Sus scrofa: one gene and its partners. The protein of the gene in region 3 interacts with the protein of the main gene of each other region in a pairwise test. Links are inferred from orthologs where the notes say so. Each region holds a gene or a part of one and is shown on either strand. Other genes may lie near its edges. The genes, in order: EIF3E, PDCD10 and C8H4orf19.

Region 1 (3,364 bases), on a different chromosome or scaffold from region 3:
GTTATGCTTTTCATTGTATTATAATTGTTACTGATGCTCCCTGTAATTGGTTTAATTTGTATACTCAAATATTTAATATTAAATATTAAACTGATACTCTACATCAGAAGATATTTTTCTTCTTTAGATCATTACTGGTTAAGCACCTGGTAAGTGTAAGATACTTTTCTGGAAGCTAAAAGAATTTCTGTAAATGCAGAATATGGGACACTTCCCTTAAAGATCTTACAATCTGATTGGTGAAATGAGATGGACTGTGAACAGTACAAGATAGTAATAGCACAAACATATGAACAGTAGTTTTAAAAGTCATAATATTTAAGATAAAGTGGCTCTTAAATACCTAAAAGTTTCTATACATAGTATAGGTCAAAGACTATGTATATAAAATAAAGCTTTTAGACTCAGTTAATGTCTTTTTTGTTTTTTAATTAGCATGTTGGCAGATAAACTGAATATGACTCCAGAAGAAGCTGAAAGGTGGATTGTAAATTTGATTAGAAACGCAAGACTGGATGCCAAGATTGATTCGAAATTAGTGAGTATTATGATAGCTTTGCTACATACTAGAGAGATTATTTTATATTTTGGAGGGGGGCTTTCATTAGGAAATCTATTCTTCTCTATTAAGAATTTATTCATGTATAGTAGTTCCTTGAAGGCAACAGCTACCTCCTGTTTTGTGTTATTAGATGAATATTGTCATCTCTCTACAGTTCAGAAAAATATGTGCAGCAGGCAGGTAGTGTTATGGTGTCATACTCATGACTTATGTGGGAAACTCAGTTGTTAACATTACAGGATCAATTTCCCTCTGTCTCATTTTAGGGTCATGTGGTTATGGGTAACAATGCAGTCTCACCCTATCAGCAAGTGATTGAAAAGACCAAAAGCCTTTCATTTAGAAGCCAGATGTTGGCCATGAATATTGAGAAGAAACTGAATCAAAATAGTAGGTCAGAGGTAAGAACCACACCTATTCTGTCTGGGATTTAGCAGTAATGTAACATAATTGTCAAAGGGGCTTCACTTGGAAACAAATTAATATTGGTTGTATCTGATTTTGTATTTGTTTATTGGGGGTATAAACTATTTTGTTTAAGAAATTACTAAACTGAAAAGACAAAAAAAAAAAAAAAAAAAAAAAGAGTTCCCGTCGTGGCGCAGTGGTTAACGAATCCGACTAGGAACCATGAGGTTGCAGGTTCGGTCCCTGCCCTTGCTCAGTGGGTTAAGGATCCTGCGTTGCCCTGAGCTGTGGTGTAGGTTGCAGACGTGGCTTGGATCCCGTGTTGCTGTGGCTCTGGCTTAGGCCAGTGGCTACAGCTCCGATTCAACCCCTAGCCTGGGAACCTCCATATGCTGCGGGAGCAGCCCAAAGAAATAGCAAAAAGACAAAAAAAAAAAAAAAAAAAGAAATTATAAACTGAAAAGAATTTCTCTTAGATATATTATGCATTAATCGAGGAAGGTAAAAAATGTGTTCGTAGTTTATTATATTTTTTTCCTTTACTTGTGTGCCTTCATTAACTCATTTCCTCGGTGTTTTCAGCACATTGTTTTGATACTGGCAAATGGTAATTTACATGTGTTGATCTCTTTCAAGTACTTGAAATTTGTGGTCCTTTTAAATCTAAAGAACTTCTTTGGAAGTGTTGACCTTATTATATCTGTTAACATTGATCTTATAGAATTTGATTTTTATCTGATATTCATATTTAACTGTCAGAAAAATATATCCCCCTTTTTGATAGAAATTTTGCATATTAGATATTAAAGGAATTTGAATGGCCTTGTTAAAAAGACAGAAGAATTAAGAAATTGTCCTTGCCTATTACAACCAAGTCTAGAATGATTGAACCTGAAAAATAACTTTTATACAATGGGTTTTTTTCCTACATGCTTATGGATCAGTCTATATTGATTTTCGTTATGGTATTGATGATACTGTCATTGTTATACTTTATAATTGGTCAAAAACTGTTCCAGGGTTTTTTTAAATTTATTTTATTGAAATATAGTTGATTTACAATCTTGTGTTAGTTTCTGATGTACAACAGAGTAATTCAGTTCTTTATGGATATACATGTGTATGTATGTGTATATGTACATACATACTCTTTTCCATATTCTTTTCCATTATGGTTTGTTACAGTATATTGAATATAGTCCCCTTTGCTATACAATAGGCCCTTATGTTTATTCTATATGTAATAATTTGCATCTGCTAATTCCAAACTCCTAATCTATTCCTCCCCACTCCTCTGCCCTTGGCAACCACAAGTCTGTTCTCTATGTCTGTGAGTCTCTTTTTGTTTCATAGATAAGTTCGTTTGTGTCATATTTTAGATTCCACACATAAGAGATATCATGTGGTATTTGTCTTTCTCTTTCTGACTTACTTGGTATGATAATCTTTAGGTCCACCCATGTTGCTTCACATAGCATTATTTCATTCTTTTTTATGGGTGAATAATATTCTGTTATATACCTAATCAGATGGTATTTTGATGTGTTTGTTTTGCTCTAAGTGAGACACCTCACATTTAGTAATTCCAGGATTTGTTAAAATCTTAAAGAATGTTGTAGAAGTAATGCTGAAAAAATGCTAGTGTCACTTTTTTCTAAGGTAGCTTTTCAGAAAATATTTTTCACTCTGTTTCTCTTTGTATTTTAGGCTCCTAACTGGGCAACTCAGGACTCTGGCTTTTATTGAAGATCTGTAAAGAAAAATGAAAAAAAACTGTAAAAGAAAGATGAAATAATAAAGCCATTATATAAAGGTGAAGCATTTTAGAAACAACATACTGATTATAAATTTTGGAGATTTTGAATAAAATTGGCTGTGTTTCATTTTATTTCCTTGTGTATGTAAGTGTTTGCTTTTTATTTTTAATTTTTTTAATTTTTTTGGTCCTGCATGCAGCAGTTTGATATGGATTAAACCCCAGCCACAGTGGTGAAAGTACAGAATCCTAACCACTAGCCCACTAGGGAACTCCTCAGTGTGTGCTTTTTTTACCTTTTCATTTTGGAATAATTATAGATTCACAGGAAGTTACAAAAATAGTACAGAGAGGTCCTATGCAACCTAAACCTAGTTCGTTTTTAATGTCAAAACTAGGATATTGACATTGGTACAGTGGTGTGAATAGCTCTGTGCCATTTGAGCATTTTTTTGTGTAACCATCACTGCAGTCAAGATATAGAGGTATCATCCTCATAAAGGTCTCCCTTATGCTACTACCCCTTTGGAGTCACATCCACTCCCTCCAGCTCTAACCTCTGGCAACCATCAGTCTGTTTTCTGTCTCAATAATTTTGTCATTATGTAGATGTTAATAGCAATGGAACCATACAACAT
Region 2 (4,314 bases), on a different chromosome or scaffold from region 3:
CCACTAGATGGAAAGCTAAGTACCCCTTTATTAAAACACATTTTTACATTATCGCTGGCAAAAGTTATACTTCTGCTAGGTTCCGTCGTCTTGATTATTCCTGACGATATTTGCTTCTTTAACAGAGATCTCTTTCAATTCTAGGAACCTGCAGTATAACCGCCCTGGAAAACAGGTCGGTAGCAGGACAATCTGATAAAACAATGTAAGGGGTAGATAGTGAAGAAGAATGCAAAGTTATTTTCCTAGTGAAAGAGTTCTGAAGTAATTTTATATCAATGACATTTTTTTTTAACCGGCTACGCACCTATCTAAATATCACCCTGTCCTAAATTAGTAGGGTTTCCTCAATCTTAAAATCTTCCAGAACAGTTTTAACGGTACAACTGAAACCAAAAACACTAACCACGCCCTTTATACCCAGAGTCAAACCACCTTTTGCTTTTTATCCTCTCTCCAAGTCCAAACATGTACATCTTTCACCTAAAAGGGTTTGCACCAGTTTCCTAACCCGAGTGAGAGACTCTTAGCTGTGCCTTGATATTATTCCTATTGGGAGACGCTTTCTCCCAGGCAGAGCAGACGCCCAGAAGTGGCACCCACGCTTACCTCCCACACACCTGCAACCCCTGGCGGGATGCTGGAGCTAAGGCTCCGAGGACTGCGCTCCGCTCCTGTTCCTGCTCTCCTCTCTCCCGGGAAACTACAGTCCAGGCTGCGCCTTCGGCTGCTACAGGGACCCAAGCTCCGCCTCTCCCTCCTCTAGTTGGCGAATTCAGCAGCTGTTGCTCCTCCCCCGGCTGTTCCGCCTGCTGCCCGGTTGGAGGCGGCGGGAAGCTGCTGCCCTGGTACCTTCGCGCTCCTAGCACTTCTGCAGCTGTCCTATCGCTTTCCTTCCCCGGGGACCCTTCTCCCTTCACTCAGTGGCTTGACACCTGGCACAGGGCTTCCCGCCCCGTCCCGACACCTACGCGAGGAGCCCGGGCTCGACCTATCCCTGACTGACCAGCAGGTCTGGCCGCCCGGTGTGCCTGGTTCTTGGCCGCTTTGGGGGAAACTGCTCCTCTAGCTAGGGCGCATCCTCACACCGCGTCCTCGCTCCACCAGGGCGATTTCTCCCCCCCCCCCCCCGGCTTCCTCTCAGGTTCCACAGCTCAGGCGCCCCATATTCCCCATTCGGAGCTCTTCCCCCGCCCCCATTCCTTCCTGGGCTCCGCTAGCCCGCCCCCACAATGGGTGAGTTGACTGCGGGGCCGACCCTGCATCCTGATTGGCGCAGGTGAGACCTGACCCCTCCCTTCCTCTTCTTTCATTTCACCCTCTCTCTTCTTCTCACCTCCTCCAGCAAAGGCAGGGAACTCTATTACTATTGGTTGAAACTGTCTCCACCCATCACCTTAGGCTCTACCGCAGGGCCTGACGGGAGTTGTAGTCTCTTATGTGCAGGAACTGCCGACGAAGCCCGCGAGTGGGACTACGAGTCCCCACAAACCCCTGCGCGACTCCGGCTGGGCAGGATTCCGGACAACGCCTGGTTCCTCTCGGGTCCTTCCGGCGTCGCCGGAGTGAATTGATCCGGGAGTTGAAGAGGGCTCCAAAGGTGGGAAGTGAAGTCAGTCCCTCAGTTGCCGGTAAGGTGAGGCTGTTCTGTCCCAGTCCCCATAGCGCCGCGCGGAGCAGAAGAGGTCTAGGGTCACACGGGAGCCGTGGCTGAGGCCCTTGGGCTTGGTTCTGGCAGGCGGAGCGGACGGGGCTGGGAACCGGGCCCTATGGGCGTAAGCGAGGTTACCCTACGCGAGTGGCGTAAAGCGGGTTTGTAAATGCCGCCTGCCCTGCTCGGGCCCGAGCGCCTCCAGGAAGTCTTCTCTAGGTGGGGGCGGGAGGGGAAGGGCGAAGTTGGCCTCTGGTGCCCCCGGAGAAGGGAGAAGGCGGATGTGCCTGGGGTGGGGTCCTCTGAAGATGTGGCTTGGGGTGAGGAGGTAAGGGTTTTCCCCCTGCTTTAGAAGTAGGATAGAGAAAAGAGCAGAGAAAGGAAGGGGCGATTGGAGTCTGCTTTTGAGGTGACTCGGGTTGTGTCCTTCGAGGGAAGAGGAGAACTGTAGAAGGAAGAGTCAGATGTTGACAGAGATCTACTGATTCAGTTCCAGTTTCATGATGTCCCTCTAAGGAGGTAATTTTGCCCCATGTAGTAAAGATTAACACTATTACACCTTTACTGTTTTCAAAGGCCATTCACAGTGCTAATGAGGAAACTGAGGGGATAAATGACGTGCCCAAGGACGCACAAGTAGGGACTGATCTTCTGAATCTAATCCAGTTGTAATCCAGCTTCTGAATCAGAGCCACCGCACCAGACTGAAAGTGTAGGAAGGTTTTGTTTTTTGAAGAGGGTGGAGGAAGTTGCAAAGTAATGCATTTTAGGTATGTCTAAGAACCTCTCTGTGAGGTGAAGAAGGTGTTTTTTTGTTTTTGTTTTTGTTTTTTTGAGCTGGGAAGAAATTTCTCAATAAAAAAAAGCATGCACTCTGACCTTTAGGAAAAATAAGGAGAATCAGTTTCAATTTACCTAGTTTGCTTGTTTTTTGTGGTTTTTTTTAGGGGTTTATTAAGTGACTCTGCTACCATTTTAAAGGATAGATAAATGGGATGGGGAAAGTCAGATAACAGTATGTCTCATCCTTACAGGTGAAAGACACCCCTTTCCCTTCCTACCATAGGACCGTTTTTACTGTTTTCGCTGTCAACTGAGAGCAATGGGATTGGAATTCTTTCATGAAACTTATTTTACATTTTTACAGCACTGAGAAAGATTTTAGTGAGCTTATTACTAGGAAAGAAGATACATTGCTTTTTTGGAGGTAACATCACATTTTGTTGTGTTGATTTTGATTTCCCCCTCATTTTCTTGACTAGTGTGTGTTTGTGTGTGTTTATAATAACACCAGGCTCTTGTGTATTTTAATTTTCTTAGCATCATCTATAACTTTTAACTCATTCTTATTTTACGTTGGAGAATGGAAAAATAGGACATTTGTGTTTTATTTTGAACAGAAAGCAGTGTGCTTGTTCCAGTCTATCCTTTATAACTGTTAGGACCAGTTACAGTTATAGTTCCTAAATATTAATATTATACAGTTCTTTAATAGAATTTCAGGATTATGTTCATTGGCATCATGATTTCTTCATGATAAGTTTCTGTCTAAGAATCAGGTATCTACTGATGGCAGATAATCAATCATGGTTTACTGTTGTATAACTGATGATTGAAATATGTTGTATTTTAAATATACTCTGCATTTATTTAACTTGTACACAATGTGTTTAACTTTTGAATCCAAAGACACTTTCTAGGATCAGAAGTACTAATACATTCCCCTAGGATTGAAGTGAAGATGGTCTGGAAATTAATATGACTTAAAATTAGAAGAGAGGTGTGATACTATAGAATGAAGTAAAATCAGGAATAATTAGCACCACGAGTAAGTAATGCAGTACACAAGGAAGGAAGACCAACTAAACAAATGGAAAATTATGTGGGGATAACTGGCTCAGTGCTGTGTTAGAAGGGTGCGGTAGTTTAAGTAGACCATAAACTGAATATGAGTCAGTGATAGTAAAACAAGAATGTTAATCTATTCTCTATATGGCAGTGTAGGCATTTGTTTTTTGTTGGAGGAAGTGAGAAATGAGTTCTTCTGACTTTTGGCATAGAGCTGGGAGCTTGTGGAATGAGCTTTTGAACCAAAAGTCAGGAAAATTTGGAAATCAGTAATATAGGGCAGTTTGTCTAGTATGTGTTAGTTTTTGTCCTTGGTTAATTCTACCACTAACTTCTCTTCATCTCTGAGGTCCCGTGTGTAGTTTTGCTCTTTCACCTATGGTGAATGGTGGAATAATGTTTCTGTTGTATTTGTCATCTTTCAGTTCACATGCTGGAATACAGTGGTCATTTTGGATCTCAGTGCATTGAATAATTTAGGGTTCACAAAATGATGTGTACCTTTGTATTTTTATAGTAATTTGCAGTTCACCAATGTCCACATGTGTTCCTATTTTGAGTTGTAGGAGCCCTGTGTCAGCTTTTGGATATCATCTAATACAGGGCTTGGGATGTGTACCACATACATCTATCTTTGAAGACATAAGATCTTTAAGAACAGGATGATCATCATTGTATTCCTAGTAGGTCACATAATTGAGTATCTGTTTACACAGAGAATAAAGAGGTTCAGATTGGTTAAGAGGAAGGTGATGTAACTAGTAACTTGGTGGGACCAAGACATAATCCAGATGTTATGACTATAGATCTTTAAT
Region 3 (4,177 bases):
TAATCAGAGACATGGTAGTCCTTTTGCTTTAGGTTAACAGTACTCACTGCAGCTCAGGATAGCATTTTCTAAATGACATTGAGTATTTTGAGTTCTTTTAAATCTCTGCTTGAGGATACACATTCCCCTGATGGGTGTATTATAACCACATTTTAGGATAGGGTCATTTTGATGATATATGGTCCTTTTGAACATTGCAATTGCTATGGGACCATGATATACTAAGGTGACAGGGGTGTGAGTAGACAAAAGATTTCATTTTCATTTCTTTTATTTTTTTTAGGGCCGCACCCATGGCATATGGAGGTTCCCAGGCTAGGGGTTGAATCGGAGTTGCAGCTCCCAGCCTACACCACAGCCACAGCAAGGTGGGATCCGAGCTGCACCTGGGACCTAAACCACAGCTCATGGCAAGGCCTGATCCTTAACCCATTAGGTGAGGTAGGGATCGAACCTGTGTCTTCATGGATACTAGTCAGATTCGTTTCTGCTGAGCCACAATGGGAACTCCCTCATTTTCTTATTATTCTTAGCATTATTTTTAAAAAGCATATAATGAGGTAATCAGTCTGACCAGCAGACAGATGAAGGCTCAGGTCTGCCTTCTCCTAGCATGAGCCTATCAACTCTTTTCTAAATAACCATTAGATTGATTATTGGGTGCAGTAATTCTACCTGCACCCAATAATCAATCTAATGTCCTGAAGAAGAAGAAGAAATAGAAATGCAGGAGCTAGATACTGTCTTACCAAGAGCCAAAGAGAATCAAGATTCTGAGTTATTGAAAAAACTGTGGAACTAGAGGAATTTGAAATGAACAGTTCAGGTGGAGGAAACCCAGCTACTACTGAGAGGTTGGTATTCAATTTCTTGGAAACTGGAGTTCATTCCTGGAAGCACAGTCAATGGGCTCTTTGGGCACCAAGGGCAGGGCAGTTCCTGGAGCAAACAGGGCAGTACTGCTCTGCCCTTGGGCTGACACTAGATTGTGGCCAGCACTTGGCATGGTTGTTTTCAGGCTCAGACTGGGACTAGGTAGGAAGTCAGGGGGATCGTCCCATTTCTAGGTTAATGAACGTATTTAGTTGACATGCAAGTTATTGCTCTGCTTTGAGTTCCAAACATGCAAAACCTCTTAGAACATAGCTAAGATGGGCCACCTTGATCTTCGGATGTCATTATATATCTAAATCTTGAAAACCTTTGAGGGCCAGGCCCTGGGGCCAGATGCCATGAGGTAGGTGCTTATCACATACTTGCTGAATCAAAGAACTGGTTTGGGATGGACACAGAACTAGCAAAAGAGATAAAGACTGAAACCCTACTTCTATCAGTGTCTGCTTCATTTTACCTCTGCGATCAAGGGAGCTTCCTACAACTGACTCTTCACACTTTAGAGAAACACAAACAACTCCAGAACTCAGAGCTGTGTTATTGTTTCAGTGATAGGCTTCACAACTGAACTGTTCTATAGATATGGGTTTAACATCTGGCTCCTTAAAATAGTGTTAACTGGGGGATTAAATGTGGGAATAAGTGGCAAATCCAGAATCTATTGTCTTTAAAAGCAGCAACCCACTTTCCATTTCTTTCTCATTCAACTCTCAGATGTTTCTTAAATAGCTTGTTTACAACTACCCAGGAACATGCATAAGCTAGGGTGAGAAGTGAGAAAATAACCACTCTATTCTTTAATGATTTGAACCACCTCATGGAACACCGACTTCTAAATTCACTGGGCAAACATCTATACTGCAATGGAAAATATAATGTACTAAATTGCTAATAGGAGTTTTTGTTTTGTTTTTAAGGTTAATCACAGTGCTGGAGGAAGAAAAAAAAAAACCCAAACATTGATTTCTGTCTTGTATCACTAGAAAAACTGCTCAGTGGTGGCTTGTGAAAAATCTCACCTCATCCGGACTGCCAAGGTCAATGAGACCCAAGTAATCGACCTGGGAGATGCTTGCCTAATTATCAAACATTCTGCAAACATTTTGTGAACATTTAACCGTTTGCACCTGGACCCCTCCTTCAATCCATGCGGCTTCCTAGGGCTGCACCCTCTCCTCTCCACCACCCAGGGCGCCAACACCCCAAAGGGGCAAATCCTGGGACCCAAGGACATTTCAAAGAAACAGCGGCGGTCACCTTCCATTTCAGTTTTACTTAAAAACACTCAGATGTTTAAAAATAGGGGAAGAGGAGGGCTCAGAAATAAGAGGAAAATCTTTCGCAGTTTTTCCAATTCAAGTTCTCAGGCACCGTTGAAAGTTCATTAATTAGAGATTTAAAGACAGAAGTGTTTCATATACCAATCAGATGCCAAGCTTTGCAAACTGTCTTTGTCTTTAGTTGGGGGAAGTTTGTAAAAGTCCCCCCATCCACCCCATTCTGGAGTTTGCTTCTCTTTCCGCGCCTTTGTTGAACGACCTGACTTTCCCGAAGCAACCAAACCGAGAACTGCCTCACCCGCCCTCTTTTTTTTTCTCCCCCGGCAAAAGGAAATAAATAAAAATGCCCCGCGAGAGAAGTGGGAGAAATCATGCCACAAAGCCAAGTTCCGCGGGAGTCGAGCCCCCGTGTTGCCCGCGGCGGGGCCGGGAGCGCGGGGCGGGAGAAGGTCCCTACCTGGGGCCGGGCAGCAGCGGCGGTGTCGCGGCGCCCATGACTTCGCCGGCTTCGGGCGGCCGCGCGGGGAAACGCCAGCGGCTCAGCAGCGCCTGGACCCGCCGAGCTCGCTGCGGCCGCCCCGGCGCTGTCATTGGACCGATGAGTCACGTGGTCTGGCCGGCGGGCGAGCCCCTCCGGCCGGCGCAACCCCTCACCTGCGCGCCCCGCTTCGCGCAGAGGCCCCGGGAGCGCGACAGCAGACTTCCCGAGCCCGGACTGGGCTGCAGGACGCACCGGAGAAGAAAATCCCGGAGTTCGGCCTCTGATCCCCGATACTCAGGCTGCCAGGCAGCCGGCGCCGCGAAACTTTGGTGCCGGCTTTTCCGCCGTGCTGCTGGGAGAGGGGAGCTTCCTCAGATTCGGCGTGAGTCAGGGAGGTACGTAAATGCACTCCCTGGCGAAGAGACCTCCCCTCGTCCCCCGTGAACTTGGGGTTTGTTTCCTTCCCGGTTCTGGCCATAGCCGCTTACACCTGGTGTGTGCAGTTCGCCTGCTTTTTATGGGATAGATGGGAAAGAGCGCAGACGCTACTGGGGCGAGAATTCCCAGGGAAGTTGCACACACTCATCTGCACCCTCAGGACCGCAGTGGGAGTTCAATGATGTGCTTTCCTGCCCCCACCTTCCCTTTCTGTGCCTGGGGTGTTGGAACTTTGGCTGTCACACTCCGTCCACCGTCCTGAGCTCCACGGCCGTGCTTGCTGCAATCCGTGCATCTAAGCTTGGTTGCTTTACTTTAAAATAGTATTTAAGGGTTGGAAAGTTTATTCACCTGTGCTCCAAAGTGCGTCGGTGTTGGTCTTGACAGGAGAATGTGTTAAGCAACGGCGCCACCTAGCTCGTCGTCTTCTCTCTTTCCCCTTCATTCATTCGGGGAGAGTCAGGATAAAACAGAATGCTGGAGAAGCAACAGACAGAATACTATTTAAAGATGAACACACTGCCCTCAGCTCTTAATGTGTCCACTCTAGTGATTCTAGCGCCATTTACACGACGACATTTCCCACGCTTTATGGGGGGAAACTCATGTTTTGAGATTCTTCCCACTTGTGTAGTAGCAGCATGCTTTAAAAATGATAGATTTATGAGGGACATTAAATGCTCTTTTACATCACTTTCTGATAAAAACTCTTTATCCCAGTAAAGGACCGTCCTAACTTCTAGCCCACGCTTAAGTAATGTCCACAGGATACTGATTACATTTATCGGTTAGATTATTCTAACCAAAAAGACTGGTATTTATCTTGGGTTTTAAAGTATAGTTCCCAGACTAGCAGAATCAGCATTATTTGGAGGAATTTAGCAAAAATGCAGATTCTTGGGCTCCACCCCAGACATTTGGATTCAGAGCTGGTGGAGCCAGGGAGGGTGAAGTAACTTGTATTTAAACAAATGATGTACATTCCAGTTTGAGAACCACCATCCTGAGTCTGCTCAAGCAGCTGGCTAAATTCCACTCATTTGTTAAAGGTTGGGATTCTGTAAAGTCAGAGGTGGTGGTGTTA

The links.
Region 1: the proteins of C8H4orf19 (region 3) and EIF3E interact in binary tests that used the Homo sapiens proteins (3 or more experiments, as listed by UniProt). The two-hybrid records come from large-scale screens. The link is inferred for Sus scrofa from reciprocal best matches to the Homo sapiens genes PGCKA1 and EIF3E.
Region 2: the proteins of C8H4orf19 (region 3) and PDCD10 interact in binary tests that used the Homo sapiens proteins (3 or more experiments, as listed by UniProt). The two-hybrid records come from large-scale screens. The link is inferred for Sus scrofa from reciprocal best matches to the Homo sapiens genes PGCKA1 and PDCD10.

Annotation. Positions count from the first base shown.
Region 1 is NC_010446.5:29,340,736-29,344,099, forward strand, and holds the end of EIF3E (eukaryotic translation initiation factor 3 subunit E), read left to right. Parts: intron 1-435; coding exon 436-538; intron 539-828; coding exon 829-963; intron 964-2,677; coding exon 2,678-2,716; 3' UTR 2,717-2,858; downstream 2,859-3,364. UniProt on the Homo sapiens protein: Component of the eukaryotic translation initiation factor 3 (eIF-3) complex, which is required for several steps in the initiation of protein synthesis.
Region 2 is NC_010455.5:106,556,128-106,560,441, reverse strand, and holds the start of PDCD10 (programmed cell death protein 10), read left to right. Parts: upstream 1-1,491; 5' UTR 1,492-1,631; exon of another isoform or gene 1,632-1,636; intron 1,637-2,227; exon of another isoform or gene 2,228-2,421; intron 2,422-2,685; exon of another isoform or gene 2,686-2,858; intron 2,859-4,314. UniProt on the Homo sapiens protein: Promotes cell proliferation. Modulates apoptotic pathways. Increases mitogen-activated protein kinase activity and STK26 activity. Important for cell migration, and for normal structure and assembly of the Golgi complex.
Region 3 is NC_010450.4:29,011,593-29,015,769, reverse strand, and holds the start of C8H4orf19 (uncharacterized protein C4orf19 homolog), read right to left. Parts: upstream 2,887-4,177; 5' UTR 2,632-2,886; intron 1-2,631. UniProt on the Homo sapiens protein: Acts as a tumor suppressor. Acts as a tumor suppressor for colorectal cancer cell proliferation by targeting KEAP1/USP17/ELK1/CDK6 axis.